Linked DNA regions of Caenorhabditis elegans. Each later gene encodes a partner of the first gene's protein in a complex. Each region holds a gene or a part of one and is shown in the gene's direction. Other genes may lie near its edges. The genes, in order: pid-3, ife-3, tofu-6 and pid-1.

Evidence for each region.
Region 2: pid-3 (region 1) and ife-3 share a complex: the UniProt entries of both Caenorhabditis elegans proteins name them as parts of the tost-1 variant of the PETISCO complex.
Region 3: the proteins of pid-3 (region 1) and tofu-6 are in contact, whole or in part, in a crystal structure (PDB 7D1L), measured with the Caenorhabditis elegans proteins. Residues at the interface, in NP_491011.1 of Caenorhabditis elegans: Pro225 (codon at 4,571), Tyr226 (codon at 4,574), Asn245 (codon at 4,631), Lys246 (codon at 4,634), Phe247 (codon at 4,637), Gln248 (codon at 4,640), Tyr250 (codon at 4,646), Gln251 (codon at 4,649), Gln254 (codon at 4,658), Asp255 (codon at 4,661), Val273 (codon at 4,715), Val274 (codon at 4,718), Ser275 (codon at 4,721), Ser276 (codon at 4,724), Pro277 (codon at 4,727), Ala278 (codon at 4,730), Val279 (codon at 4,733), Leu281 (codon at 4,739), Glu282 (codon at 4,742); in NP_001293507.1 of Caenorhabditis elegans: Ala23 (codon at 3,270), Trp24 (codon at 3,273), Asn25 (codon at 3,276), Asp26 (codon at 3,279), Trp27 (codon at 3,282), Asn28 (codon at 3,285), Phe30 (codon at 3,291), His31 (codon at 3,294), Gln34 (codon at 3,303), Gly37 (codon at 3,312), Lys38 (codon at 3,315), Val39 (codon at 3,318), Ser40 (codon at 3,321), Tyr41 (codon at 3,324), Cys42 (codon at 3,327), Met61 (codon at 3,428), Gly80 (codon at 3,485), Glu81 (codon at 3,488), Asn82 (codon at 3,491), Phe83 (codon at 3,494).
Region 4: pid-3 (region 1) and pid-1 share a complex: the UniProt entries of both Caenorhabditis elegans proteins name them as parts of the pid-1 variant of the PETISCO complex.

What each region holds. Positions count from the first base shown.
Region 1 is NC_003279.8:2,616,913-2,624,434, forward strand, and holds pid-3 (Protein pid-3), read left to right. Parts: upstream 1-3,737; 5' UTR 3,738-3,746; coding exon 3,747-3,911; intron 3,912-3,958; coding exon 3,959-4,036; intron 4,037-4,082; coding exon 4,083-4,312; intron 4,313-4,371; coding exon 4,372-4,822; 3' UTR 4,823-4,947; downstream 4,948-7,522. Other genes in the region: ctn-1 (Alpha-catulin), read left to right, coding at 179-197; spe-47 (Major sperm protein), read left to right, coding at 648-693, 743-933, 977-1,063, 1,722-2,294, 3,145-3,279, 3,327-3,437; Y23H5A.2 (t-SNARE coiled-coil homology domain-containing protein), read left to right, coding at 5,045-5,102, 5,406-5,717, 5,981-6,204; cars-1 (Cysteine--tRNA ligase, cytoplasmic), read right to left, coding at 6,448-6,516, 6,732-7,043, 7,103-7,522. UniProt on the Caenorhabditis elegans protein: Component of the pid-1 and tost-1 variants of the PETISCO complexes, which have roles in the biogenesis of a class of 21 nucleotide PIWI-interacting RNAs (piRNAs) that possess a uracil residue at the 5'-end (also called 21U-RNAs) and embryogenesis, respectively.
Region 2 is NC_003283.11:3,718-11,280, reverse strand, and holds ife-3 (Eukaryotic translation initiation factor 4E-3), read left to right. Parts: upstream 1-3,451; 5' UTR 3,452-3,462; coding exon 3,463-3,630; intron 3,631-3,671; coding exon 3,672-3,848; intron 3,849-3,887; coding exon 3,888-4,123; intron 4,124-4,170; coding exon 4,171-4,345; 3' UTR 4,346-4,693; downstream 4,694-7,563. Other genes in the region: B0348.10 (uncharacterized protein), read left to right, coding at 2,542-2,706; idpp-2 (Intrinsically Disordered Protein, expressed in Pharynx), read right to left, coding at 4,770-5,257, 5,315-5,743. UniProt on the Caenorhabditis elegans protein: Recognizes and binds the 7-methylguanosine-containing mRNA cap during an early step in the initiation of protein synthesis and facilitates ribosome binding by inducing the unwinding of the mRNAs secondary structures.
Region 3 is NC_003280.10:5,418,076-5,425,981, forward strand, and holds tofu-6 (Embryonic developmental protein tofu-6), read left to right. Parts: upstream 1-3,172; 5' UTR 3,173-3,203; coding exon 3,204-3,370; intron 3,371-3,414; coding exon 3,415-3,505; intron 3,506-3,552; coding exon 3,553-3,693; intron 3,694-3,736; coding exon 3,737-4,060; intron 4,061-4,109; coding exon 4,110-4,281; intron 4,282-4,326; coding exon 4,327-4,442; intron 4,443-4,496; coding exon 4,497-4,589; 3' UTR 4,590-4,662; downstream 4,663-7,906. Other genes in the region: EEED8.2 (lipocalin/fatty-acid binding family protein), read left to right, coding at 210-284; EEED8.15 (PHR domain-containing protein), read left to right, coding at 1,199-1,747, 1,796-1,858, 2,350-2,814; F07F6.7 (Apolipoprotein L, 1), read right to left, coding at 4,768-4,893, 4,941-5,036, 5,085-5,504, 5,551-5,670, 5,721-5,756; F07F6.8 (Apolipoprotein L3-like), read right to left, coding at 6,162-6,392, 6,441-6,536, 6,584-7,003, 7,061-7,180, 7,554-7,643. UniProt on the Caenorhabditis elegans protein: Component of the pid-1 and tost-1 variants of the PETISCO complexes, which have roles in the biogenesis of a class of 21 nucleotide PIWI-interacting RNAs (piRNAs) that possess a uracil residue at the 5'-end (also called 21U-RNAs) and embryogenesis, respectively.
Region 4 is NC_003280.10:7,687,144-7,694,405, reverse strand, and holds pid-1 (Protein pid-1), read left to right. Parts: upstream 1-3,849; 5' UTR 3,850-3,902; coding exon 3,903-3,956; intron 3,957-4,006; coding exon 4,007-4,117; intron 4,118-4,163; coding exon 4,164-4,276; intron 4,277-4,321; coding exon 4,322-4,388; intron 4,389-4,435; coding exon 4,436-4,600; 3' UTR 4,601-4,716; downstream 4,717-7,262. Other genes in the region: nhx-2 (Na(+)/H(+) exchanger protein 2), read left to right, coding at 459-651, 957-1,223, 1,475-1,608, 1,657-1,982, 2,210-2,483, 2,535-2,678, 2,853-2,942, 2,986-3,153 and 2 more; F18A1.1 (Receptor L-domain domain-containing protein), read right to left, coding at 4,717-5,750, 5,796-6,195, 6,358-6,861, 6,979-7,262. UniProt on the Caenorhabditis elegans protein: Component of the pid-1 variant of the PETISCO complex which is required for the biogenesis of a class of 21 nucleotide PIWI-interacting RNAs (piRNAs) that possess a uracil residue at the 5'-end (also called 21U-RNAs).

The sequences.
Region 1 (7,522 bases):
CTTCTTGTCTGCTTCCTGTTTACGTGCCCATGTCTTTCAGGCTACCTACGTACCTACTAGCAAGGCATAGGCACATACGCACAAGGAATGAGGTTCAGCGATCTGCGCTTCGTGGCCTCGAATAGGGGAAACTTCGGCCACCGATTTACAGGCCACTTTTCAATTTAATTTTTTGCAGTAGTACAATTGCGAGCTGACGTCATCACCGTTCCGCGGCCGCCCACAGGATCTCTCCCATTTTGTTTTTCAGAGCCCTATATTTTCTTTCATTTCTTCAGTTTTTTTGCCACGTTTCTTCCTCTCTCTCTCTCTCATCTTTCCATGTCATACCATTTGCCCAAACCTCGCGAATATTCAAAATGACTTACTTTTTAAAAATGCTGGTTTTTTATTGATTTTATTGATTTTTTTCTGTTGACTATTGTTTACAAGAAAATAGTTCGTTCTTTCTTTGTGTACTCCACGTGAACAAGAAAACTTTGCGCGTCAAATATGATGTTTCGGCTGTGGAAATGCAATAATAGGAACGTGAACCTTTGAGAAGTATAAAAATAATAATAGTTACGTAATTTTATTTGGAGGGGGGGGGGGGGGCATTTTCAATCATTTTGAATTTTTCACAAGCTAGCAAAGTAGCAAATTCGAAGATGGCGCTTGAAAGCATTGGACAGCGAAGCAAGCAATTTTATTACGGTAAGTGACGTCACTCCCCGTAAACTAGGCCACCTATGACGTCATTCAGACCATGCCGCTGGTGACACCGCAACTCAGAAGCACATTAGCCACGAGAAGAGCCAGATCAATTTGGAAATGACTGGCGAGCCAGGAGGAGGGGAGCGCCGATATTTTGAAGGGCTTGTTGGAACTAAAGAGCTTGTCATATTATCTGCACTGACCATGTGCTTGTACTTGATCAATGGAGAGTATGCACAGGTTATTGATTTTTTGCAGCCGCCATCTAGTTTTCTGTTTTCAGACAATTTGCACCGCGCTGACGTCAGTGCCGCCGGCTCTTTTTTCGTATCGAGTTTTGACAAATCAGATGACTGATAAGCAGGGATATGTGAGTTTCGAATTCCACTACGTGGTCGCGAAAAAAAAAACTCGGCCACCAACGTAATACACCGGATTTTTTCCTCCTTCGTTTGCGCGTAAAACATGGTGCATCGATGTCGGTGTACCGCACGGCCGTATCCACTTCTGGCTTTCTTCACATTTTGAAATGGAAGAGTTTGCCGAATTAGGCCATTTTGTCTCGGCCACGGTCGGGGTAGGTTTACGGCGCGTTGCGTGTCGCGTCGCGGCTCGGTTTTCATTGTGAAACTAAATGTCTTGTCCGCGTGGAGTACACGACTTCTCCACCCGTTGTCCGGTTGGCGATTGTCAGTGGAGCGCGAAAAATGCAATGAGGGAGACTGGAAGCCCGTGTACCCATATTTTTCACAGGGTTCTGGCCTGCCTCATTGAATTTTTCGCGCTCCATTGAAACTCCACACCGACAAATACATTTAGTTTTACAACTGAAACCGAGCCGCGACAAGACACGCAACGCGCCGTAAATCTACCCCAAATATGGCCGAGCTAAAATGGCCTAGTTCGGCAAAAACTCTTCCATTTCAATTTATGAGGGAAGCCAGAAATCCGTGAATAGTCCCCATATAATTTTGGTGGAAATGTTCTAAAAATCGAAAAATCCACTAAACTAAAGCTAATTTTTCCAGCACTCAATTCTGTTCTACTGGACCCTTTACGGGCTCACTGCTCTAATCGATCAATTCGCTGGAACAGCTCAAGGATACAATCTCTGCAAGTGTGGCCTCCTTGGCGTATTTTTCTTCCACGCGGTCCGCTCCAACTTGTCCGCAGTGCCCGCCACCTGGAAATTCGCGGAGAAGCTTGAAGTTCTGACGTCACTGGTTTCACAGCTGGAGACTGATGGTTTTCTGCGGAACTACGATGCGATGACACCAACGATAACCCAGTTTTCTGAGGATGACTCGCTGCAATACATATTCCCAGTGGAAGAGAATTTGGAAATGAGCACAGCGTGCAGTTTCGTGCCGTCACTTGATATGCAGAGCACCCAGAATCCGTCTCCATCTACTTTGAAAACTATGAAAATCGAGGAAAGCCGGAATTTCCAGACCATGTCGGCGATGACGTTGGCCTGCGGTGGAGCTGCAGCAGATATTGTCACCGTGCCGGCCGACCGGATCACGTTTGCCGCTGGCAAGCTGGAAGAAGTTATTCGAGTCACTAACGTCTCGCAATCGCATATTATGTTCGCTTTGAAGGTGAGGTCTCGGTTTGGCGCGTAAAATTGTATGTATTGTGGTTTTTGTGCAATTCACCGACTTCAATGCATCGGACTTTACGCACAAGTTGGTACTTTGTGATTTTCCAAACATTTTTGCTGAAAAAAAAAATTGAAAATTCGAATTTGCGTGTAAAATTAACTCGCAAATTATTACGATATTATCAAAATATATAAACTGACATGTGAAACGTGGCTTATTTTTTATTTTGTTTTTTATTTAAGCGCCTCCCATTTTTTTAAATGAGCTAATAAATAAAAATTTTAACGAAAGGCCAGGAATGGGAGGAGCTTAAATAAAAAACAAAATAAAAAATAAGCCACGTTTCACATGTCAGTTTATATATTTTGATAATACTTAACACAAAATTCTGAGAATGCTTATGGCGCAACATATTTGACGCGCAATATATCTCGTAGCGAAAACTACAGTAATTCTTTAAACGACTACTGTAGCTCTTGTGTCGATTTAACGGCTCGATTCTAGATAGAAATTTTTAGATAGCTAATTAGATATGGATTTTCGAAATATCGATAGAATATTAAAATTAAGCAAAAAAGTAAATAATTCGAAGAAACGAATTGTTTTCATTTCGAAAACGAAACCCGTATATCGACACAAGTGCTAAAGTAGTCCTTTAAAGAATTACTGTAGTTTTCGCTACAAGATATTTTGCGCGTCAACATTCTAGAAATCTAGAAATTTCTAGATTTCTAGAAAATCTAGAAATTTCTAGAAATTTCTAGACGCATTCTAGAAATTTTGTGCTCCCGTAATATACACAAATTGAATTGTATAATGTAAATTGTTTGAAAACCGATAATTTCAGACAAATGCCGACGCCTACCTCATCGCTGCTCCAACTTCTGGAGTTCTTCTGAGCGGACAAAGCATGACAATCCGTGTTGGAGTCACTGGCAACTACTTCGATGATTTTTCGGATCCTGGAGTTTCCATTGATAAGGTTATTTTATAATTCTATTGAATAAAACTTCAATTTCCGATTTCCAGCTCGCCATCGACTATGCTCTGATCCCCAGCCGTTCCTACTCCAAATTTTCCTCCGAGTTCTTCTATTCCCAGAACCGACGTCGCCTCGCAATTCGTGTGTTCTATCAATGATTTGTCTCTTTTCTCGACTTTATTTTATTTATTTTTGTATTTGTAAAAAGCTTTTATGAGTAAAATTGTGTTTAAATCATGTTTTCCTGGCATTTCTACTTCCATGGGAGATTTCGATCCCTAAAACTGAGGTTTCAAACAAGCTGCAAGTACGCTCTACCGTACGAAGCCATTTTCAAACGCGGGAAATTGTTTCAAAAATTAATTTCGGAGATTTCTTTTTCATTTTTTCTGATTTTCTCGGCCTGTTTCTTCAGTTTTCTTGTAAAATTTACTGTTTAATTAATAAAAATGTACATTTTTCAGAAAATGGTTGCCCATCAGAAGGCGGATTTCAAGTCGAAATGGGCGATGGTCGTGACTGTCAATAACCTGAATGACAAGAAGCGAGCCGATTTGAGAGAATTTTCCGAGTGGTTTATCGAGACTTTGAGATTGGAAGGAGCTTTTATTGGTCACTATTTCAATTATGAGGTTATTAAGAGTTAATAATTAATTAATTATAAATGCAATAATTCCAGGCTGCACCGGTGACCATCGTCGAGACTTTGCCAGGCAATTTTGACTCATGCACTAATGCATATCAGAAGATTCACAAGGTTTTGATGGATAAATTAAATAAAATTCAATTAAATAATTCTTCAGGAGCATCCGCAGGTCGTCCTCGTCGTGCACATTCTTCCACAGTCGCAGTCGAACGAGTACGAGTGGATGAAGGTGTTGGCGTCGAGATACGGATTCGTCCGTCAGGGATTGCTCTACGATAACTGTGCCAATCGTTTCCAAAATGTGGAAACCGATCAGAATAGCGTGTTCCGGAACATGTGCCAATGGATTTATCGTAGCGGCACCGCGATTGTGAGAAATGAGGGAAAGTAAGTCGAATTACATTTTTTTATTTAGCCATTTTTTATTTAATTCCTGTGTGTTTCAGCGCGTGTGGAATTCTCCATGGAAAAGATCCGAAACCGACGTTCGACAAGGTTCTCTTCAACAGCGAAGACATCAAGGATTCCGTTTTCAAAGTTCTTCACGCCGAAGAAGAGCCGAGAGGTGCGGATCAGGAGAACATGCTGAAGATCAGTGGATATCCGGGGATGCTCAACACGTTCGGCATCGCACAACTTCTCACCCCATATCGTGTCAATGGGATCACCATCACCGGCGCCCAGTCGGCCGTCGTTGCCCTGGAGAACAAGTTTCAAGTCTATCAGGCCGTGCAGGATTTCAACGGGAAGAAGCTCGATCGCAATCACAAACTTCAAGTTAGCAGCCTCGTCGTCTCGTCGCCAGCCGTTCCACTCGAGTGGCCATCGCTCAAAAAGTCGAAGAAGCTCGTGGAGCAAGTGGGAAAGCCGATCAGACTTTCGAAAGTCTCCTCTTAAATGTGCCCCAATTTGCTTATAAGTTATTTTTTTCTGATTTCTGATGATCTTTCTTCGATATCTCGACCTTTACCGGTTTTTTTAATCAATTTGCTCATATTCCTTGATAAATAATCTCTCCATTAGCATGTGCGATTTTTTTTTCATTTTAATCTGTTAAAATCGGGGCTCGATTCTTGTTTTCGTTGGAGAGAATTGTTCTTAAAATAAGTAATTTTTTAGATGGAAGAAGGCAGCTCCTCACAGCCATCCGACGACTATGAGCCGAGATATAAAATTTGTAAGATTTTCCAGGTCTCGACACGACAATTTGTGTTCATTACAAATAGGTGTGCGCCTTTAAAAAAGTACTGTAATTCAGAGAAGATTTTCTGCGGAATTTTGATAGATTTTTCAGAGTTTTTCTCTCGATTTGTTGAAATTCAAGTGTTTTATTGTTATACTAGAACATTAAGCATATTTTTACTAAAAAAAAACAAAAAAAATCGAATAAAATTATGTGTCGAGACCGGTGTTCGGCCCAAAACTTCCACAAAAAATAAAATCTCGAAAAAACTCGTGGCGAGACCCAATTTTCTTCCAGCACGACCAAATCAACAAATGCGACTTCCTATAATTCGGCCTAAAATCCCGCCGAAATCCTCAGGCCCACCGGTTCGCCTGATCACCTCCGCCACTCCACAACCGATAGCGCCGAGCACATCGAACCCGCGGCCGCTGATCTCACTGCTCGATCGGACAGAGTTTCGCGATCGGAATCGACCGGCGCTGGTGCCGACGAGAATGATGGCAAAACCGAAGAAGTGCTATTACACAGAGATGGCCGATATTCGAAAGGAATTCGGAATACCCGAAGCGCTGGACACTGTGAAGCCGAACACGATGAGCGGCGTTGGTCAGTGCTCGGATGAAATTTATTTAAAATTCGAAAATTCCAGTTTTTCGTATAATTTTCCACTACCGCTGCTACCGATACGGGACCAGGTCTCGGCACGATAACTCAAACGGATGTGCGCCTTTAAGTTAACTTTAAATCGGTTTTTCAGTCTTTTTTTAACGAAAAACTGGAAAAAGTACCTTTAAAGGCGCACACCGGTTTTTGTTTACAAAAAATTGTCGTGTCGAGACCTTTTCGCTCAAAATTTCGAATTTTTTCAGCACTGGCGTCAAAGCTCAACCTCCTACAACGTCTACGCGGCGAGAACAAATTCCTGCGCGAATCGATCGAAACGAGACAATCCACGTGCGACGAGCGGCTCGATCAAATCGAAGGGTCTCGCAACGCGACCGCCGAAGCCGCACAATTCTGCCAGGCGCTCCGAGACGATCTGAACACCGTGGAGATGGATATCGCCGGACTACGGGCTCAGGAAGACACATGATTTATTTGGATTCTGCGGATTACAATAAAGTACATTTAATAAAGAACAATAAACCACCGTTTTTTTTTTGGATTTATGTATGTGTCAAAAGTCGTCAGAGAGGGATACCCAGTAGATATGTTGAACAAGGGGGGGGGGGGAATAAAAAAAAGAATCTAATAAAACAGAAACGCAATATAAAGCACAATTATTAGAAAGAACACTGAAAAAAAACAATAAATTAATTTATATTAGCACTAATATTTATTGCTGATACTTTTTCTTTTGAGCTTCGTACACCTTCTCCAGCTTTTTGATCTGACTCTTCGTGATCTGAAATAATATTTAAATTAAATAATATCTGTAAATAAAATAATTTCAGAGGCACCACGAATTCAAGATTGGTGGAATTGCGGATCTACGTTCTCCGGATCTCGAAGAAAAACGCCGTTTATTTGGAAATTTTCTTCTGGAAAATACGCGTAGATCCGTAATACCACCAGATCTTGAATCCGTGGTGACTCTATTTCGTAGTTTCGTCGTTTTACCTCCGTTCCATCAGCCAAATGAGTCGGTACACCTCGTTCATCAAACTTCGAGTATTTCCCGACGTGCTCTCCCTGCTTGAACAGCTCTTCCGGCTTGATCTTCTTCGCTGCCGCCTCCTTATCAGCCTTCTCCCGAGCCTTTTGCTCCTTGTCCGCCTTTTCCTTATCCTTCCGCTTCTTCTCGGTGTCCTTCTGCTCTTGCTCTCGGAGCAATGTGGCACGATCCACAAGCTTCACAACGGTCTGACCATTTCGATCCTCGAGGCGAACTCCGAGTTCGGTGAGGGTCTTGTCACGAAGAGTGTCGCATTCCTGAAAAATTTTGAATTATTTTATTTATTTTAGAAAAAATTAAAGAAAAAATATAAAACCTCAAGAATTCCATTAACTTTGTGCTCTTTTGCGATAAGCCGAACTTTTTCGCGAAATTGAGCAAGAGCATCCAGGTACGGCATGACGACGGCTTCCTTGTTAAACGATGTTGAAGCTCCTTCGCCATTGCACTCATCCTCGGAAACGAATCCGATCTCCTGGTTGCTCTGTGGAATTGCTCCAAAGATCTTGAGCAGATTTGTGATGTAGGCAGCGATATTTCTGAGCAACAGGCAATTCGGAACGTGTCCCTCCTTCTCCTTCTCCACAATATAGGCATTTCCAAGGGAAATCAGCTCTCGGAACTTCTCGATCACAGATCTGGTATCCACCGAATCACAAAGCGCCTCGTGAACTTCCGACTTGAGCTTTCCAAATTCCTCCATAAGCTTCAACTCTTTTCCTTGGAATTTTTGGTA
Region 2 (7,563 bases), on another chromosome or scaffold:
TAGGAAGCTAATCTGTTGGAAGTTGTTGTGTGTTCCAGTGAAAATCTGATATAACTTAGTTCCTCTTATGGGCTCTTGCGCGAAAAAGTGCAATCGAGGTGCAAACGCGCTCCACGGCCAAACGACGAGTTTGTGGCCCCTTCAAACACGCGGTGTCAGGTTGTCCCATTACGGGTTGATCTACAGAAAATGCGGGAATTTTTCGCGTAAAAAAATGTGACGTCAGCATGTTCTTAATCATGCGAAATCAGTTGAGAACTCTGCGTCTCAACTCCCGCATTTTCGCAGATCTAAGTAGATCAAACCGAAATGGGGCACTGTGACACCAGGTGTTCAAAAGTGCGTGCATGGTCTCGTCACGCGCCTCAAAAATCTATGAATGGCGCGTGTCAAGACGATCGCGCGTAAATGCGCCCCTTCAAAGTCGTAGAGATGGAAAAAATGCGCTGTATATGATAATAACCTTTTTTCGCGTAAAAATAATCGAAAAACTACTGAAAATAATTGAAAACGTTCGAATTTAATGTTTTACCGCCAATTTTTTGTTGTACCCGGTTTTTTGGCCGTGGAGCACCTTGAATTTTATGAACGATTTTCGAGTTTTTGAACTCGATAAATTTTTAATTTCACTCGACTTATTTTTTTTACCAAAAAATAAGTTTAAAAATCCATAGAAAACTTAAAAATTCAGTAGAAAATCTGAGAAATATGAATTTTCCAGTCTCCGTTATAGACACTGGTCGCGGCTGAATTTGAGAAAAGCCGGAGGCACAGGAATTTGAATTTTTCATTGGTTTAGATTTAAAAAAACATAATTCGAAATCGATGTGGAAACGCGCTCCACGGAAAATTGGCAAAGCTCCGCCCCCAAACCATAGGTCTCGTTAGGCATGTGGCGGCAAAACTGTGAATTCAAATGTTTCGCCAATTTTCAAATACCGTATTTCCTCTATTAGTCTTGCACCCCTACGGACCAATCGAAAATTAGTCTTGCAGCCTCTATTAGTATTGCATGCAAGACTATTAGAGAGCATACGGTAATAGTCTTGCACCCCTATTCTTGCCAGACCAGCAGTATTTTGTGAAAACTTCAAAAATTTCGCCATTTTTTAGCCAAATTAAGTTTTAAAGTGTTCAAATAATTGATAAAACAATAGAAAAGTATGTATTTTGCACGATTTAGACAGTTTCAAGTCAAATTTTTGACGATAAATTATCAATTTTACAAAGCTATTGGATCTTCGAAAATTAGTCTTGCAGCCTCTAATAGTCTTGCAGTCTCTATTAGTCTTGCACCCCTACGGGTCAATTGAAAATTAGTCTTGCATGCAAGACTAATAGAGGGAATACGGTATTTTCGTTGTTTTTATTGAATTTTACGTCGAAAAAAGTATTAAGAACTTAAAAATTAAAAAAAAAACTAGTTTTCGTTTTTTGGAGCGTTTTCAATAGCTCGTGGAGCGCGATTTCACCAGAGATCTTTTTACAGCGTTTCCATATAACGTGGAATTCCTCATTGTTATGCGAACAATTTAAGACGCTTAAATAGGAAATGATAACATAATTATTTTGTCGAAATATATAAGAAGAGTCTGAAAAAATTGAGCTTCCGACTCTTTTTTGCCGCAAAAAAAGTTTACTTTTTTCCAGTAAACTTTTTGTGCCGCACACCTCTATTCTGCAAACAAACTATAGAATTTCAAATGCTGTGGGCTTCGCGTGTGTGAGTGGAAATGAAAATAAATAAATACATACTAAAAAGTGATAATCACATCAAAATTTAGTTCCTACCGCTGCGACACTGAGAAGTTGTCAAAATTTAAGATTTTAGCTGAAAATATACCATTTTCCGAGCGGTCATAACTTTTTTTTTTGAGAAATTTTCAGAACATCTCATTACGAAATTAGTTTTGGAACATTTTGGGTCCCAAAAAGCCAAGTCTCGAATTTCGGTGATCCTCCTTTAAGTCTGTGGAACTACTGAAAACTAGCAAAAAACGATGATTGTTAGGAGAATAATGCGGCTACGAAAATGTTGTGTGTATGTGTGTGTGGGGGCGTGGCGCTCTCCGAAGACTTTACGTGGACGACGTGGTAATTATGACGGTCAGAAGGCGGACAAGAGTGCGAGAGACGCAGAGAAGAGAAGCCCAACAGCCGTCGCCGAAAAAATAGACAAAGTATTCGTGACTATGGCTCACCGCCAACACTCTAAAACGGGAAAATCGATGTGGTGGAGAGGAGGAGGAGACGGAGGAGAGAGAGAAATACAGCGAAAGAAGTCGTCGTCGGAGGGCCCCCGACGTCGTCTGACGGCGGGGTGTCAGACGCAGTAGGTTAGACGAATGGCGCCTCGGGGCAACGCTTGCTGCGTCTCTGCGATTCGGAGAACTGTCTGGCCACCTTTTTACGGGACGATGGGCAGGGAAAACAAGGCAAAGTGAGAGAGAGAGAGAGAGATATGTGCGACGAGTTGAGGCACACAGAGAGGGAAAAGGCGCCCAGCGGCAGCAGCAGCAACACCCAGACCGATATATTTATATGTGCATGTTGTGGAGGCTGCTGCTGTATGTGTCTGTGTGTATGCTCACAAGAGCTCGAGACACCGGGACGGCTCATGAATTCCTGACGACGACGGCGACGCTGAATGCGGCAGAAGGAGAAAAGAAAACGGAGACGCACTCGTGGATAAATTGGAGAAATTGAGAACCACAGGCTGTAAACAATGCACATTTTTTGGGAAAACTCAGATTATCGACTGCAATCTGGAAAATAAATTTTTGAATTTTAAACCTGAAAATATAATTTTTTAGCCTGAATTCCCTGAAAGAGCTCAATTTCTGTGCGAATAACGAGTTTTCAGCGATTAATTTCATTATTTTACCGAATTTTCAATAAAATTTGAAAAATTTTACCTAAACAACTCGATTTTTATTTTAATACAAAAATAATTTTCATATTTTCCGCTGTTTTGTTTAAAGGGGGGCGCAATTCCGCAGACAAGATACTTCGCAACGACAAAAACTACGGTTACACTCGTTTTGCGTGTGTCTGGTGTTTGAATTTCAGGATTCGCGCCTTTCTTTCCATTTCTTCATTTTCCAAGGTTTTTCGGGGAAATCGCTCTTTTTTTTTTCACTTTTACGATTAAAAAACAGCTAGAATGTTTAAAAACTACTAGGAATTTCATGGGAAACGAATCATTTGATGATTTTTCGTCGAAGTTGAGCTGAATTCATTTTCTACTTTGTTTTATTGTTTTCCAAGCTTTAATATCAATTTATTGTGCCCGATGTTACCAATTACACTTGAAAAATCTAAAAAGCTTGGAAACTAGCCGAAAATGTGCAGTAAAACAAAATTTCCTATAAAATCCGAGTTATTTGAACCAAATTCATACTCTTCTCTATTTTATCGTTTTCCGAGCTCTAATCGTATATAATATTACCTATTTTCAGCTAAATGAGCACATCCGTAGCGGAAAACAAAGCATTGTCAGCTTCCGGCGATGTGAATGCGTCCGATGCTTCAGTTCCTCCAGAGCTTCTCACCAGACACCCCCTCCAGAATCGCTGGGCTCTCTGGTACTTGAAAGCTGACCGTAACAAGGAATGGGAGGATTGTCTGAAGGTAGAAGATTTTTAAATACGTCTTTTATCGATTTTTTCCAGATGGTTTCACTTTTCGACACTGTCGAGGACTTCTGGTCGCTGTACAATCACATTCAGTCTGCCGGAGGATTGAACTGGGGATCCGATTATTACTTGTTCAAGGAAGGAATCAAGCCAATGTGGGAGGACGTCAACAACGTTCAAGGTGGACGTTGGTTGGTTGTTGTCGATAAGCAAGTACGTTTTGAGAAATATATTTTATTCAATGAATCATAGAAGCTTCAGAGAAGAACGCAATTGCTCGATCACTACTGGTTGGAGCTGTTGATGGCTATTGTTGGAGAGCAATTCGACGAGTACGGAGACTACATCTGCGGAGCTGTCGTGAATGTTCGTCAAAAGGGTGACAAGGTTTCCTTGTGGACTCGTGATGCTACTCGCGATGATGTCAATCTTCGCATCGGACAGGTTTTGAAGCAGAAATTGAGCATTCCGGATACTGAGATTTTGAGGTAATTTTACAATTTTAGTATTTGCTATCTAAGTAAAATATTTCCAGATACGAAGTTCACAAGGACTCGTCGGCTCGCACCTCATCGACTGTCAAGCCACGCATATGTCTTCCAGCCAAGGATCCAGCACCAGTGAAGGAAAAGGGACCAGCCGCAACGACTTCTCCATCGAATCCCGGCACGGAGGCTACAGGAACTTCTCCAGCCACCCCAACTCCTTAAGCATATTCTAAAGATCTCACCAATTCCTCTCACCGTAAATGAGCTTCCCCGTACTCCCAGTCTCAATGTTGTCTTGAAAAATGAACTGTTTTTCGGACACGATCATCGCTTTAACTATTCGAAAATCAGCTCATTTTTCAAGTCGTACCCCCCACCTAATGTATTGGTGCTTCCCCTCCAATTTGTACCTACTGTTTCGCTTCCCCCTATTGATTTACCGGTTTTCGTATTGCTCTCTTGTTGTTACTAGATTCGAGACTGATCGACGCCTGTAGCCGAATTCGTTTGTTCTTCAGGTTAATTGATGAATATATATTTATTCGGTAAATATAAATAGATATGTTAGTTATTATTCTTCTTCACACACATGATTTGTAGGGCGTTTGATTTTGTACATTTTTAAAAATTGATTCTATTCTTGTTTTCAGGCAGACTTCTCCGATGTCTTTACAGTTTTTGCAGGCTTTGCCGTAGTCGATGTGTTCGAGCTAGACGAAGGAGCTGCGGCAACAGTCTTCTTGGTTGGCTTCCTAGCTTTCCGAGGTTTCCGTGTGCTCGTCGTGCTCGGCGAGCCGGTAGTGGTCTTTTTGTTTGCTTTGGCCGCATCGTCGTGTTGATAGGAATCAACATCCCGCGACATAATTCCCATCGGAGAGCCAATTCCTCGGTTCCAGTGATTCGAAGCAATGTTCATGTTGTAATCTATGGGAATTCCTCCTCCACGTGATGGGATCTGTGGTCCACTGCCGCCATAAAGCATACGCTCAAGTTGGGAATCATGGCTTCCGAATCGTTCGCGAAGATATGCGGGACCATAGCGTGACGCATAGGTGGCAAGCTCGCGAAGTGATGGGATCGCGGAATTTGTAGCTCCATTGAAACTGTTCATCAGGTCGTTAGATGCGTAATCAGCTGGAAAATAGCGGATTTTAAAGAATTTTATAGCGCATAGAAAAATCGTATACTTACGTGGATACTCAGTCTGTGGAATTTTCGTCTTCCTGGAGCTCATAGGCGGCACAACGGCACCCCGTCTCATACCAACAGTGCTCCCGTAGTACCCAGATCGACTTCCTCCGACCAGTCCGGAAAATGGAGCGGCCGGCCGGATATTGTACTCTTCTAGACCCCCAGGATATGGGGAACCTCCACCAAGATTCACTGTGCCATATGGATTCGGATTACGGTCACCGTAGAGGCCACCTATTTGTGGGGGTGGCGGGGATCCCGTGTTCCGATAGCCCATTCTGTTTGATCCATAACCGGCTTTATAGGCCATTCTACTGAAAGGAACACGAACTCCGAATGGGGCATTTATGTTTCGTCGTCGGAATGTGGTGACTTTCTTTCGATAAATTGAATCACCGGAATCAACGTCGGATTCTTCGTCTGGGGAACCTGGAAATGCACTTTTTTATTATGTTTTTGCATTTTACAGCGCCAAATGAGCTCCAATTTACATAAAATAAGGATTTTGCCCAGTTTTCAAATGAGATGCGACAGTTCGCGATTTGTTTCGCAAGATTACGATACCAGGTCTCGAGACGATCAAACAAAATAATTTATGGAAAAGAGTGTGCGCCTTTAGGGAGTACTGTAGTTTCGATTTTTCTTGTTCTTTTTTCGGTTTCACGTGTATTCAGCTCGACCCATGCCTCGAAAAGAGCTATTAGAAAAATACACGTGCTGTTTGACAAGTTTTCCAAAAATCAACTTTTTTAAAAGCAGAAATCACGGCCTCTCTTCATTTCAATAATTAAATAAAATAACGTGATGAACTGTCTCTGCGTCTCTCATGGGCGAGAGAGTGAGTTTTTTGAACCGATTTTGCACTGATTACGGAAGAACGAACTATAAACGGCGGATAGTGAAGAAAATTAAACAAAAATTGTTAGACTGATAGATCAGGCAAGTAGCGTCTGAATGAAACCAAAAACAGCGTGGAAGCGTATCAATGAACTCATCCATTCGTGAAAATCCTAAACTAGGGGTTTTTTGGTCATAATTGGCGAAATCGGGCGATTCGCTGATAAATCTTCAGATTTTCCAACAATAAACAAACAACTGAATATTACCTCATCAAATTCGACCAAAAAATCCAAATTTATAACATTAACTATGCTCTTGTAGGGCAAAATGTGAGACCTAGTCGAAAAATTGGTTTTTTACGGGATCCCTGGGGAAGAATGGAAACGAAATTTTAAAAAGTACCGCCTTACGATTGTAGAGAATTTTTTTCCGGTCATTTTTTGACATTGCACAAAAATTTTCGATAAAAACTGGCTCCGGAATTTCAAAAACAAGAATTAGGCCTGAAAACACCAAAAATGGGCCATTTTTGAATGGTTAACGCAATTTTACTAAAAAACGATGACATTTATCAAAAAACTACCGCCTTACGATTTTTACAAATTGTTCAATGAAGATATCAAGACATTAATGCCGTGATTTGGTTAAAAATTGACTGAGTAATTTCACTTTTAGGACATTGTGGTTTATAGTGGTTTTTGATTGGTTTTGTTTGGAAGCCCGTAGCTCAATAACTAAAGAAGCTATCAAAAAACTGTCAACTAAAGAAATAATCCTCATAAAACGATTAAAACTTACAGTTTAAATACATTTCAGTTTTTCTGATGGCTGCAGAGTTATGATATCACTAAGCGCCCAATCTTAAATTTCGGAGAAAAAAATCTTGCGAGGAGATTAAACTAATTTTTTTCAACCAATTATATTGGCATTTGGTAGGTAGGTGAATGACAATGGTTTTTTATAGTAAAAACAGTTTAGGCTTACTGGAGCCTGTTTTACTTGTGTTTTATGGCGCTTAGCTTTTTTGCGTTACAATATAGTTGTACTCGTTTCAGTTAGATAGTTAGATTTATCTAACGATAGAACGTATTTAGACCAAGAGATTGACAAAATTGAAGTTTTGCTTTAACAGTTCCTTGAATAAATAAAGAGTGTTTTTCCTAATGAAACTGATGAAATAATGAGTCACTCCGAAACTTCATCTCCTTGTCTGTCATTTAATTCCATATTTGAGAAAGCATCACACGTCAGAACAAGGAATCGAACATTTCTTTGCAGTTTTTAACAATATGAAAACTTTCTACGCTCCAGTTCGCAGCCTGGAGGACAGAGCTCTTCTCAAGATCGTGTATCATGAATTCTATTTCAATAAAATTTGATTTAATTAAACACAAATTATTATTCAGAAA
Region 3 (7,906 bases), on another chromosome or scaffold:
AATTTGAATTCCCTCTAAAAACATTAGACCAATCAGAGGGGGTGACAACTGATTGACAAGTGATTGATAAAAAGCTTTCATTTTAGAGGTTTTTCAAATTGGAAGATTAACAAGAGTTGTGTTATTGTTAGGTACAAACTGAAAGCTGGAATATTACTTTTTTTTTTAAATCTGTTTCTCGTTCCAAAATAATTATTTATTTTTTTCAGATTCCTGACCAGAGAGACTCACGTGCTTACCCAAGAAGCATCTACGGATCGGAGAGCCAGAATATTTATTATTAACTTTTTTTTTTTAATTGCCTCCTCTCTATAGATTACTGTACCGCTTCTCATGTTCCAATATATATTAATAAATCTAATTAATCCGTCAATTTTCTTTCTTGGCCATTTCTCTATCTTTCTCGTTCACTCTCTCTCACACGCAAATTTTCGAGGGTTGGCTGGCTGGTACCGTGGAACTAATAACCACCTTTAGCAAATAGTGTGTGATACGAAGAGAAACAAAGAAAACGAACAGATGCTCTTATTCTGTTCTCTGTTCTCTTGGTCCCGCCATCTACGCATCGATTGTGTGAGAACACCCACCCCGTGTGGTGGTGTGACCTCTCCTAGAACAAGAAAGATCTACATTTTCTTTACGTGCTTCGGTTTTCGTTTTGTTATTTGTCTTGCTATTGTGCACTGTAGTGGCATAGGACTCTAGGTTCCACGCCTAGCTTTTTATACGACATCTAAAAAATATCCGAAAAAATCGTTGAAGATTGTACTGTTTCGAGCATCTTAGGCTTAGGCTTAGGCTAGACTGGGTAAGGCTGCAAACTTCCTTAAAGTTCTTGAAACAAATCATATCGAAGATGACTGAAATCGACATACCCGATTTTCAAGAAATATTATTCAATTATTCAATTCAAAAAGTTCATGAGCCCTAATTGATATTAGCAGAGATACCCTGTTGCAGCCAGTGTATCAGTATTGCACCTCCACTGTTCGTCAGTCGATAATTTTTTCCATAGTTAACCCAGAGAAAAGTAGATCAATAAGGATATTCAAATTAAGGTGCTGAAGTGGAAGCATACTGACTTTCGAAGATTTTGCATATATCTTGTTTTTTTGGCGATTTTCCTTTGCTCACATAATATACCTATTCTTATTTTCAGACTTGGTACCAATTTCATTCTTCTTCGTCTCCTTAACCAATGTCTTCGCATAGCCGATCATCCAGTGATTCGAGTTTTGAATTTGTGAAGGAAGATGGCGAATCTCAAGTGGCAAAGATGGCATTGAAAATGGAACAGAGGTCGAAGGAAGTTCAAGATGCTTTAGATATCCTTAGCATCAATGGAGATGTTTCTTCTGACGAAGAAGCAGTATCTGTAAAAGAAGAATCTTCTGATGAAGCGGGAGTTAACACTTCCCAAGAAGTTATTCAGAATGATGATACTGAAGAATCTGAAAAATCGGAAACTATATCTCGTGAAGTGTCCAACACCGATGAATTCGGGATTGGAAACAATGTGGGATTTACTGCAAAAGTTGATGATCTTATTGAAAAAATCGCTGAAGCCGTTAAGGATCAACAAATATCAGAGACCACTGAAATTCGTTACAGTGATCCACTTGGGGCATTGGAACCTCTCGTGGGTGAACCCAACGAAATTGAAAAATCAGAACTTTTGTCTGAAATTCGCCAATTACGATCTGAAATCGAAGAGATGAAAGAAACGGAAGTGAAACAAAATTCAACGGTATAGTTTTTTGTAGGGATAAAATTAGTTGAAAATGTTTTTTTCTAGATAAGACTTCTCAAACTGAAGTTCGACGAGATTGACGAAAGGGAGAGACAGAAGGAATTACAGGTAAATTTTTGGAAGGAACTTAAGGCATCCATGGCATCGGTGGCAGGCAGGCGTACATGCCTGCCAACTCTCAATTTTTTACATTTGGAAGTGAACTCCAGTGCAATTTGAATAATGTAGAGCTACTTTGAACCAAAAAACTCCTGAAACTAAATGGATTTTAATTTTCGCAACATATTTTCTGCGCAAATATCTCGTAGCGAAACCTACAGTAACTTTTTCAATTCGAACTAAACTGAAAGATTTGGGGTTACAGTAGTCATTTACATATTACTGTGGATTTCTCTTCGAGATATTTTGAGCGTTAAATATGTTGCGTAATAGGCATTCTCAGTTGGAAATATCTACATAATAATTTAAAAAAATCATAGGCTTTAAACAAAAGATTTTGTGAAAAATCAGTCTCATTTTGGATTACAATTCGGGAGTAGCTTTCCTAAAACTCCTCCCTATCAATATATATTCCATCAAAAATTTGTTTTAATTTCCAGCGTTACACTCCGATTGCAACTGGAATCTGCGGTGCTTGGCGGCTCTCCGAGATCAATAAGTATAATGAAACACTCAAAACCCGTGGAGTATCGTTCCCAAATCGTCTGAAAACTCTTGCTGCTTACACCGTATACAACTTCGATGGTACTTATCTGAAATCTCACAATCAAGTTTTTTGTAAAACGTTTAACAGTGGCTGTTTGAAACTTGGAACTCATGAGATAACCGGTGGAATTGTTGTATCAACCTTCATTTATAGAAATAAAATGATAACAATTTGGAAGAATAAAGATGGAACTTCTTGTGTAAGAAAGGAGAGATACATTAAAGATGGAAAATTGTACAATGTGCACACAAACAATTCCGGCGAAAGGACTATACGCATTTTTGAACGAGTTCAGGGAAAATCAGATATCTTGTACTCAATTGCAAACGTCGGAGGACTCTATCTCAAATTTTGGTGATCACCTGCTTTCTTCAATCCACACAACTTGGTCTCGCAACGAAATATCATCTTAATGATTCTCAAATTCACAGCATTAATTAATTCGCTATTTTATTCAATAATTTTTAATTTTCTCCGTCCATTTGTCTTTCAAAATTTTTTAAAGCAATTTTTAATCATTTTAATCGTTCTCCGTGGGAAATAATGAATCTTTTCGAAATTCTGTGCCTGTAAATAATGATTTCAAGGGTACTGTAGTTTTTTTTAAACAAGTGCGCTCTATTGCACACCGCTGGAATACGCGCGAAAAATGGGAGATTTCATTTTTGCTCGCTTTTTTTGCATTTCAAGCATTTTTTTAAAATTAAAGCAAGAATATTTTCAGTTTCAGAATTACATTTTTTAGAGATGGCTTCCAGCTCGACCGCATATTATCTGAAAGACGCCGGATTCCATATTCGCAATATTCCGAAAGCTTGGAATGATTGGAACTTGTTCCATGTCTTCCAAAACTTTGGAAAAGTCAGTTATTGCCGTGTTGTTGGACAATCCAACGATGGTCAAGTTCAATTGGGGTAAGATAGTGAGACTCTAGAAACGATTCATTTAAAATCTTCAGATTTGTGAACATGATGTCGGTAGCAGATGCTGATGAAGTTCGCAAGAATTTGAACGACGGAAATCTGATCGGCGAAAATTTCACGTTGAAGGTGAGCGTTGCGAATATATAAATTCAAATTAAAACTGTAATTTTAAGGTTACCGATCATAAGAACGTCGGAGGATCTCTTCTCCCAATGGCTTCCAATTCCGTTCAGAAGCTTGTATCATCTCCACCATCGAAAAGCGGACCAGTTCTTCTATCATCATCCTGGCTTCCACTCAACAAGGATATCGAGGTTTCTTACTTTTCCTTCAGCTTATATTAAATTTTCAATTTAGGTCGAAGTTGTCGACTATCTTCCATCCTCATCAGTGGCTCCAGATCTTTTCGCGTTGACTCTTCTCCGCATAAATGATTCGTCAATGAAAGAAAAATATGATTCAATGCACGAGAAAATGAACGCGTATGCTCAAATTGTTCCATTCGATTCGGAGCTCGAAATTGGCTACGATGGAGTCTTCCGTGATGCTCCCCGTTCCGTTCGACGCGTTCGACGCATCTCAGCCACCAAGCTTTATCTCGTTGATTTTGGAAAAATTATCAATTATGAGAAGGCAAAATGCTTCCAATTGCCAAAAGTTTTCCAGTCGATGCCGACAAGGGTAAGAGTTCCATTCAAATGTTTAACATATTTTTTCTATTTATTTTCAGGTTTCCTTGTGTGGACTAGATGGTCTTACCTGGTCACCAGTCGCCATTCCATCATTTGATAATATTCGCGAGGTTGTTAAAAAATGGGGACAAATGGAAAATTCGACGCTTCACGCCATGGCTTGTGGATTTCAAGGCTCTATTAACATGATCAATCTGTTCTGTGGAAAATGTGCGTTTTTTCTTTTGAAAATTCCCCTCATAATAATTTTTACAGCGATTCTTGCTGACCGTCTTCAACGTAAAGGTGTCTGTGAATACTTGCCACGCAGTCAGCAGCCACACTATGCATACTCCCGCGAGACTCTTCTTCAGCACAATAATTCTGGAGTGGTGAGATTTGATGATTTAAAGGGATTTTCAGTTTTAATTTGGCTTTATTTTCAGACTGCTCAAATTTCGAACGATGCTGATGTCGTCAAAGATCTACTCAAGAAGATTGATGGAGTGAAGAACATGCTCCGTGAGCTCGAGCTGTAAATCTGTCCCATTTTTTTTGTCGAAATTACATTGAATCTATGATGTTGTCAAAAAAATGAACATTTTAATTCAGTGTCAGATTTTATAAGAACAACAACAAGAAAAATAACAACGAGAAAACAACAAAAAGAAAAGAAAATCAACAAGAAAAAAATCAAGAAACTTTGAAAAGTGAAAACTAATCGCTGTTCCAGGCGTCGTAATTCAAGAAGTTGGTTACAACATTGTGTCGCATCCTTTCCATCTTGCCGGAAGCTTCACGAATTTTTCCTGCCAATTCAGAGGAAGATCCGTTTTTAAGCGTCTGAAATGAAATTAATATTATATTTTGATAACATTGTTCGCGGTTACATTAGCGCTCATGGCCAGGGTAACACCGTCCAGAACGATTCCGATGGCTGCAACGCTCTGCAGCATTCCTTTCATAAGTGCATTCGTGAGATGGCCCTAAAAACGAAGGTAAAAATTTAAATTTCAAAAAAACAACTATTCTACCATGGAAGATGCGGCCATTTTAATTCCGAATCCTGTGATTCCGGCGAGAGAAACACCAAAAAGTGTTTTCAAATGAGACTGGACATCGTCGAAGTTTTTGAAAATCTTTGACGATTGCTTGTCCTCCACAAATCTCCTCACTTCGTTCAACAAATCATTTCTCGAATGAAGAAGTTCCTCAAAAAACTTCGCATCCTCCGCGAGCATTCGATTGATTTCTCTGATTTTATGATCGGTAGCAAGCTTCTTGTTCACTCCAGTTGCGACATTTGAGACGCCGGAAGCTGCTCCAACGATGAGACCAGCAATTGCAACTGGTGGCATGAAGAATAGTCCTCCGAAAACTGCAAGTCCAGATGCAATATCAACGGAACTTCCGACAGTTGTTGCGATGGCTGAAGCCTTCTCCAATCCGTCAAGCTGAAATTTAGAAAATAAATAGAAAAACTATGTTTTATCGACCTACATCTTTAGCAATCTCCTCCATTCGGTTCATGATCTCTTGTCGGTTTGAGCTCCAACGATCGAGGTGCCATTGAGCTCCCCAGGCTTTAACCTGGAGTTCCTTTGGCATTTCTTCGCCATTCTGAACAAGAAATATAAATTATAAAAAATGAATTTGAATAAAAATCTTACCATCAACGTGCTTTTCAAAGATTCATAGATTGACATATCGCTTTGCAGTTTGTAGATAAGTCTCTGAATCAGTTAATTTAGAATTTGAAATAGTGAATAATTTAATAAGAAAACAAGAATTTAAATGAAGACAAGTTACAGTACAATAAAAAATAATTCCTTAAAAACACGGATTCGTTTTTGATTTTTATTCTGAGCAATGAGGTGTCTTTTCAAGACCACCTGGAATATTGAACATCTGAGCCTTTAAATTAGTACTGTAGAGTATACTGTAGCTCGCATTCTTTCTGGATTTTAATCGATATTTACCATTTTCGGGTTTCCGTTATTTTCACAATGCCCACACTTGAAGTGCCGAATTTATTTTATTTATTCGCATGAAACTTTCGCAAAATAACAACAAAACAGTAGTGAAACCCAGAAAAATTCAAAATCCCGATATTAATGTTGTACAGATGATTCTTGTTGATGTGGATCCATTATCAGTGACTGATTTGGAGATTCTGGCTGCACCATTTCAATAGAACCAACATCGGAGAGGACGTCATCATCGTCTTTCCAGACGTCTTCATTCAAAAAGTGTTTTACCACTTTTTGGCGCATCATTTCCATTTTGGAAGATGCTTCTAAAATAGAAGATCCAAGTTCCGACACGGATCCTTCTCCAAGAGTCTGAAATTTGTATATTTTATTTTGAAAATTTCAAATTAATTGTTGTACCTTGGCGCTCAACGCCAATGTGACACTGTCTAGAACGATTCCAATTACAGCTACACTGTGAAGAACTCCTTTGACAAGAGAAGAGGAGAGGCGACCCTGGAAAATAAATAATATTGATGAAAAAAATAATAAAAAGAGCTTACCATCGAAGTAATTGCAAATCTAGTTCCAATTCCAGTTATTCCAGTAACTGATCCACCGAACACAGTTTTCAGCTTATTTTCAATGTCCCCGTCGTTTTTGAAATGTTTAAAGAATTCCTCATCTTCAACAATTTTCCGAACAGCTTCCATAAGTTCTTCTCTTGATTTCAGAAGTTCTTCAAAAAGTACACCGTCTTCTGCAATCATTGCAGCTACTTCTTTGTGCTGCCCTTTTGTATGAAAAAATTTCGTGATGCCTGTCGCCAAATTGGAAACTCCTGAAGCTGTTCCAACGATGAGACCAGCAATTGCAACTGGTGGCATCAAGATAAGTCCTCCAATAACTGCAATTCCAGATGCAATACCAACGGTACTTCCGACAGCTGTTGAAATTGCACATCCTTTCTCCCAATTATCCAGCTGAAATTAAAAATTTTAAAATTCATTTTGATTAAAATCTCGCATTAAAGTACATACCTTCTCAGCAATTCCTTCCATTTGTCTGACAATTTTTCTTCGATTATTGCTCCATTTGTCCAATAAAAACTGTGTACGCAATGCTGTTTCACTCAATTCTTTTGACATTGACCTTGGAATCTAAATTCATTAATAATTATATTACGAAGACGGGAATTTTTTGTGGAAAGATGCGGTACCCGGTCTCGATACGACAATTTTTGTTAAATACAACCGGATGTGCGCCTTTAAAGAGTACAGTAGGTTCGAAGTATAGTGGCTTGGAATTTTCATCGACTTTTCATAGTTTTCTCGCAATTTTTTGAAAATGTTTGTGTTTTCATTGTTTTAGTTTATTGAAAACAATTTTTTTAGGGAAAAAAACAATGAAAAGTCGAGTAAAAATCCGCAGCAGCAAAAGTTTGAAATTACAGTACTCTTTAAAGGCGCACACCCGCTGGAATTTTACAAAATACCCAGTACCGTATTATTGAAACTTTAAAAAAAATCTTACAAATAGCAAGCTTTCCAATGAATCGTAAATTGGAACTCCGTTGTCTTCCGACTGAGAACCTGCGTCGTCGTGATCATCTTTGATCTGCATCTTGTCTGATTTTATCTGAATTTTGACAAAAATGAAAACATGAGTTCATTACCAGAAAAATATTTAAAAATCGCGAAGTGTGGGAGGATTAGAAGTGAAACAGAAATCAATAAAAAATACCCTAAACTTCGAAAAATTCCAAGACGGGAAGAGCATTTTGATAGAAGGAAACAAAAGTTGGAAGACTGGGGCTAACATGTAAATTCGGAAAAATATGGATCGCGACATAAATAATTTGACGCAAAAATCAAAACAGGAAAACA
Region 4 (7,262 bases), on another chromosome or scaffold:
AGGAAATCTGACACGCAAGACTTTTTCAAAAAGTTTTTTTTTTTAATTTGGCAATCTGCCAAAACGTTTACTGAACATTTTGAAAACATCTACCAGTACCTTTAACACAACGAAAAATTGTTCTAAGCAATATTAACTGTGATAATTGATGTTAAGACCTGAAATTTAATCACAAATTTCACCTGGAAATGACAGTAATCGGCTTCTAAATACTGTCGACACAAGTGCCATACCTAAGATTCCAATCCTATTACCATGTTTCCCAATTTCATTCTCTTTCGTATCTCTATTTCTCTTCTTTATTATCAATTACTTTTTATCAGTTCTTCGTTTGCTTTAACATCAAGAGCACATAGCGCTCTCTCGTCTCTCTCTCATGCTCTTTTTGAACTTTTACAAAAAACTATTTCCGGTTGTTTTGATTCTTGGAATTTGAAATAATTTTCAGTGATTAAATCATGTCTCTTCTCCGGAGGCCTTGGGTGCTCGTCGTTGGACTTTTATTGATTATGAGCTATGTTGGAGCAGAATGTGAAGAAGAAGAAAAAGAATATCCATCTAGATATCCAATTGCTTATTTTGAATGGGAGAATGTCAAGATTCCAATGACTATTTGTTTATGGTTGATTGGAGCATCGATTGCGAAAATTAGTACGTAGCTGCCACTTTGGGATGCTCAGGAAATTAAACTGCTAATTGAATCAGGGAATTGAAGAGTTGACACTTAAAAAGACTTGTTTCGATAATTGGCATTTTCGGTCTATCATAAATTAAATATAATCTTACAAAGAATATATGTTTTGAGATCAAAATTATTCTGAAAAATTGTAAATCTGTTTGTTTGATAATCAACTTTCCAAGTCTTTCGAAGAAAACTTGAATGTCCTGGAAGAAAAAGAATAAACAATAGTTATTACAATATTAAAAAGACAGTCTAAAAATTGTCAATTTTTCAGTTTTCAACTTGATTCCACATCTCAATGAACTTTTCCCGGATTCCGCGTTACTCATCATGATTGGTTTAATTATTGGAATCATTTTCAAATTGATCGGAGTCAATAAAAATGCATTTTTCCTGGAAAGTGAAGTATTCATGCTTTATCTACTTCCGCCACTTGTTTTTGATGCCGGATACTTTATGCCTGCAAGACAGTTTTTCGATAATTTTGGATCAATTCTTTGTTTTGCAATGATTGGAACTTCATTCAATATTGTCGCAATTGGTTAGTTTTAATATTTTCACAACTAATATATTTATGTACAAAGTAAAACAACATGACTATGAATTTTCAAACTCCAATTAAAAATAATGATAATTTTGTAGCTTGTAACTTCAAAAATAGTAACCTCAAAGGACATTAGCAATTTTAGTGATAAGATAACAATTTGAAATAGTCTAGAAAAGTTTTGAATATCTTTGAAACCGTTATGCCTAGTTAAAGATAAATTTGGAAATAAATCTAATAATTTACAGCTCTCTCCTTATGGGCCATCAGTTTGACTGGATTATTCTCAGTTGAAACTCCACTTATGCATATGCTTCTCTTCGGTTCAGTTGCTGCTGATGTAGATCCAGTTGCTGTAATTGTCATTTTCGAGGAATTGAAAGTGAGACAGTCTCCCAAATTTCTCTGATAACAAAGTCAAAGTTTACAGGTCAACGAAGTTCTTTTTATTGCCGTGTTCGGAGAATCTCTATTGAACGACGGAGTTGCTGTTGTACTTTATCGAATGTTCTTGACCTTCTCTGAAATTGGAACTGAGAATCTGATAACATCTGATTATATCAATGGAGGTGTTTCTTTCCTGGTTGTTGCATTTGGTGGAATTGGAATTGGTCTTCTTTTTGCATTTTTGACAAGTCTTGTTACAAGATTTGCTAGAGATGAAGAGGTCAAAGTGCTCAATTCTGTATTTATTCTCATTCTTCCGTACACTTGTTATCTTTGTGGAGAACTTTTCGGTCTTTCAAGTATTATGGCGTAAGTTAATTTATTTCAGAATTTCTTTTTTATATTGAAACTTTAGCCCTACTCATATTTTCATATTAAATTTTGTATTAAAAATCGGAATTTTAAAATGTAAACTTAAGGTCTAGAGATTGAAGATACTAATATGAAAAGTTTTGGCAAAAACCGTAATTCTCTTCCAGAGCTGTAAAACTGAAACAAAATATAACTAGAACTAATTTTCAATAAAATTTTTGCAGAATTGTATTTTGTGGTGCTGCCATGCGTCAGTACTGCCGTGAAAATGTGGACCCAGACACGGTAAAAGCCACAGAATCATTCATCAAAGTGCTTTCTCTTGCATCGGAAACAGTTATCTTTGTCTTTTTGGGACTCTCAACAGTATCCTCAAACCATCACTGGGACACATCTTTCATCGTTCTTACTGTAGTTTTCTGCTTGATCTACCGTACCCTTGGAGTTGTTGTTATGTGCTATTTCTTGAATAAGTATCGTCTGAATAAGTACACAAAGGTGAGAATTAATTTGTGTTATTTGATAAAAAAAAGTATATGTTTCATACAGGTAGACCAATTTATCATGGCTTATGGAGGTCTTCGTGGTGCCATTGCATACGGTCTTGTCGTTGCAATTCCAGATTTTATACCCGGAAAGAATATGTTTGTCACCAGTTGTATCATTGTCATCTACTTCACTGTATTCCTCCAGGTATCTTTTTAAACAATCTAGCTATATTTTATACCCGTGATGTTTTTAAAAAACATACCTTACTATTACTTTTCAGCATTTCATTTACATAGCCTTCTAATGTGCCTAGTTAAATTTTGAAAAAAAATCTGGATTATTTCCAATACTTCTAAAATAGATTTTTAACATTTTCAGGGAATTACACTGAAACCAATTGCCGAATTCCTACAAGTTGAGAAAAAGAATGTTCACTCAAAGAACATGATTGAGCATATTTACAGCGAAGTGAGTTTTCAGAACCAAAATTCCAGTGAAATGAAAATTATAGCTTATCGACACGACTATGGCTGGAATGGAAGACATTGCCGGTTTCAAGGGGCATCATTGGATTCGTGATTCGTGGAATGCACTCAACAATAATTATTTGAGACCAATTTTAGTTAATAAGAACAATATGAAGGAGATGGATAAGACTAAATTGGTCAGAAAGTACAAGGTATGGTAATACGCTTAATGATATTGTTATTCATAATTAATTTACAGCATTTGGTTGATGAAGATGCAAAGAAGATTGCACGTGGAGATTTAAATAGTAATATGGTATTTACAAAAGCTCTTATTGAACATACAAGAAGTCGAACAAATACAATGATGTAAGTTTCTTCAAACTTCTGAAATCAATTATTCCAAATACTTTCAGCGATGGAGTAAGTTCGACTAGTAAAATAGATTTCACCAAACACATGAAAGAGAATTTTGGAGTAACAGTCTATGATGATCATAGTACTGTACCTATGACACCAACTCATTTATTCCAAGAAACAACTGAAGTTGAATATTCGGTTCGGAGCGAAATCAACGACAATGATGGATTTGAAAACGATGGGTATGAATCGGACGAATCAGGAAGCTTCCACGAAAGAGTATAGGTTTTTTACCTTAATTTACAATTTCTTTCTGTTTTAAACTAGTCTCAAATAGGTAGACTGTGTTTTCTCAATAATGTACATTCATCGAATGAAATTTCTTTTTTTTCTGCATCTATATTCTCATATATTTTGTTAACGTTAATTAACAAGCTAAAAAAAAAGATTTTTACAAGTTTTTTAATTGCGCGCTACCGTAACAAGTTTTTTCGCTTCGAGACCCATGCCTTCAAAATGGACATGTGTCTTTAAAACTTACAGTAACGGTGTTAAAATTATTGCACACAATTTCTTCGGCTGACATTCGAATTTTCCAATTATGTCGGCTAAAAGGGAGTTTTCGCATATTACTTTGGCATCCACACCATTTAAAGTGAGTTTTATCATTTTTTCAGAATTAATAACAATAAAACTTTTTTTCAGAAAAGAATCGATCAGAATTCGTTAAAAACCGACTCGGATATTGAAAAAGACACAAATATCGCACACAAATGCGCTGAACGGTTCAACTACAATACAAATCTTCACAGAAAAGTAATAATCTATTAATGTTGATGACGAAAGCTTTTTTTAATTTTAGGTGACGTTGAGCGATCGTTTCGAGTTGGCAGCCCTTGGATACGAAATGAAAGCAAAGCCGAGAACAATCATCGAAAAACATAATGACTGCGACGAGTTTCATTTTATCTATAGGTTTGTGAAGTACCCACATATTATAACAAATGTTTTAATTTTCAGAAAAGAAAAGAAGAATGATTATGGAACTGGCTCACCACTTTCAGCCGGATTGAGCCTATCTAATCCGGTAAGAAATAAATATTAAATTCACGCATAAAATTATATCATTTTCAGTTGCCAGCTGGACGTGGATTCCTCTCTCCAGCGATTCAGAATACCAGCAACCAGTTCACCTTTTCTGGAAGTCCAAGAATTACCCCCCAGAAGCACACCCCAGTATCGGCCAATCACAAGCCAGCCAGATCCATTTTCGACGACATTCCTTCGAATATTGCATAAGTTTTCACTGTTAATTTACTGTTTTTACTGTTTCATCTTGTTTTGAGTTTATAAAAATGATGTTTCGTTGAATTCAAAAATTTTATAAATTACATTTTAAAAATAACGACATAAAGTTAAAGTTCTCGATCTTCAGTTCCACTCTCATCCGAAGACCTCCAGTTCATCGTTTCTATTTTCACTTTCACAAACATTTCCGAGTTATCAACACCAGCATTCAGTCTATAATCTTCTTCTAGATTAACTGGCTTATCGTAGATGTTAAAGCTTTTTCCTTTTCCATATGTCGTGATCGCCGTCTCTCGTAATTGTTGTTTCCTTTTAGCCCAGGCAATCCACTTCTCCTTTTCACGTTCACTCAAATGATTTTCCAGTTGAACCAGAAGCTCTTCGAATTTGTTCGTGTCCGTGATAATTTCGTTCGGCTCAATAATTTTCCTTTTCTCCATTATTTCCAAAATCATCAGAATTCGATCTTCTTCGTCACCTTCTGCATCGTCAATTATTTCTTTGATCGCTTTATGAACTGCTTCAAAATACTCCAATTCTCGTTCATCAGCTTTTCTTGCCTCAAGTGCCATGTTCTTCGTTCTTCCTTTCCATTTTGTTTCTCCTAAACCAGTCAGTACTGCAATCGGAAGACCTTCTTTTTCATATTTTCCTTGATCTTCATTCATCTCTTTTGCATTCTTTCTTGACTCTTTTCTTCTCAACCAACTTTGTCCTGAGAACTCACTATCCGATTCGTTCTTTTGAATGGATCTCGTCAATGCTCCAAGCTTCCGTCTCCAATTAATTGTTTTTCGATTTGCTCGGTATTCTTTCATTTCCTTTTTCCTTTTTTCTCCCATCACATCCCGTCCATCCAGACGATTTTTAACCAGAATTCTCCTCTTCCACGTCATCACATCAGGTTCTTCATCTGAAGATTTTTCGTCCAAATAAGCTGTTGGGTCAGTTTTGAGATGAATGTCCAATTCTTTTATTTTTCTCCATCGAGTGAAATTCAGGGATTTCAGGAAGATGATCACAACATCTATCATCACATAGCAAACAAATATCAAAATTGACGCCAATACACAGAGGCTCACAATTATTTCCACGAATGTGCATTTTTCTTCGTATTCTTCAAATAAAGTGTCCATTTCAACTGAAACGAATAACCTATTCATTTGATTTTTGAATTTAAACTTACTGTTGGCGCAGTCAGAATATATATGCTTCATCTTGAAAGCTTGTACCACTTTACGAAGTTTTTGAACTTCCCAGCATAGTTGAGGCGTTCTAATCATCCGAATCTTTCCATTAACAGCTCGCAGCGATAATGAAGTTCTTCTCAGATATGGATTGTTTTCAAATATGAGATCACCATCAATGTATTTCAGATTTTTGATTAATTCACAGAAGTCTGATCTTAAATTTTTGATGATCACATTCCCAAGAACTCGTTTCACTTTTCGAAGTCCCGATGCCATTCTCAATACACCACCAGCACTTCCATCAATTACAAGATCTCCTTCCACAACTTCACAATCGTCGAGTTGATGGGATAATTCGGGCCAAACCACCAAATTTTCCAGAATACCCAACGCATTCTGAAAGCCAAATACATATGTATAAATTTATACAATATTCTAAAACTCAATTCTTACTTTTTCCAATTCTATTGATAGCTATGTCATTTAGGTCATCGTGCTCCTGCTGAAATTATTTATTATCAGCAATTTATGAGAGACTTTCAAAAAGATTTAACTAACCATCCACTCAGATTCTGAATATCTTGGAAGTCTTTTCTTATCACCAACAACGGCTACAAATTTCAAACATTGATCGTCTTTTTTCTTCATCTTTAGTAGCTCCACATGTTCAAATTTCTGATTGTATCCATCTATTCTTACAGCTGACAACCTTCTCCTATCAGTTTCATTCCACACGGGGCCACATTCAACTTCTTCTAGACGCGGAAAACTATCCAAATTGGAAACAGTAGAAGTATCATGGATCCAAAGTTGACCATCTTGAATTTTACGAATCGAATTATATTTGCAAAGGCTCTTTTGTTCTGGTGATCCAGTAATTTCAACTGTTCCTCGGTGTAACTGACAGTTCTTCCAAATTGTCGTAGACGTTGTCCCTGGTCCACACTCACAGTTTCGAGATGTTGCCACTGTGAATCTACCCAAAACACGTCGAAGAACATTTGAAACTCTCCTTTCCTCACAGTCAAGACCACTATTGTTTCGAAAATAGAATATTGGAATCTGAATATAGAGTTGTTATATGAAAAACATACAATTTTACAGATCATGCCAACTAATTACAGCACTATTTTTGTTCACTTTTTATGTAAGACTTGGTTTTTCAATAATTAAACTTACAGTATACTTCGTGTTTGCCAAAGATGTATAATTTCTTCTGGTCTTTTGTAGATATGGGAATGGCATAAAAGTTGATATACATCCGATTACAGCAACTTCTGGATATTCAGCCGATCCATCAATATTACCAATTTCTCTGACATCAGAATATCCCAATTGAAGAAACCATTTCTCTAATCTTTCCAAGTGTTCATCCAGTGCAAAGTATCGAATTCTTGCGTAACGTACAATATCACCTTTATGAAATTTGATATCATCTCGATTCGTAACGTAATCAAAGGGCT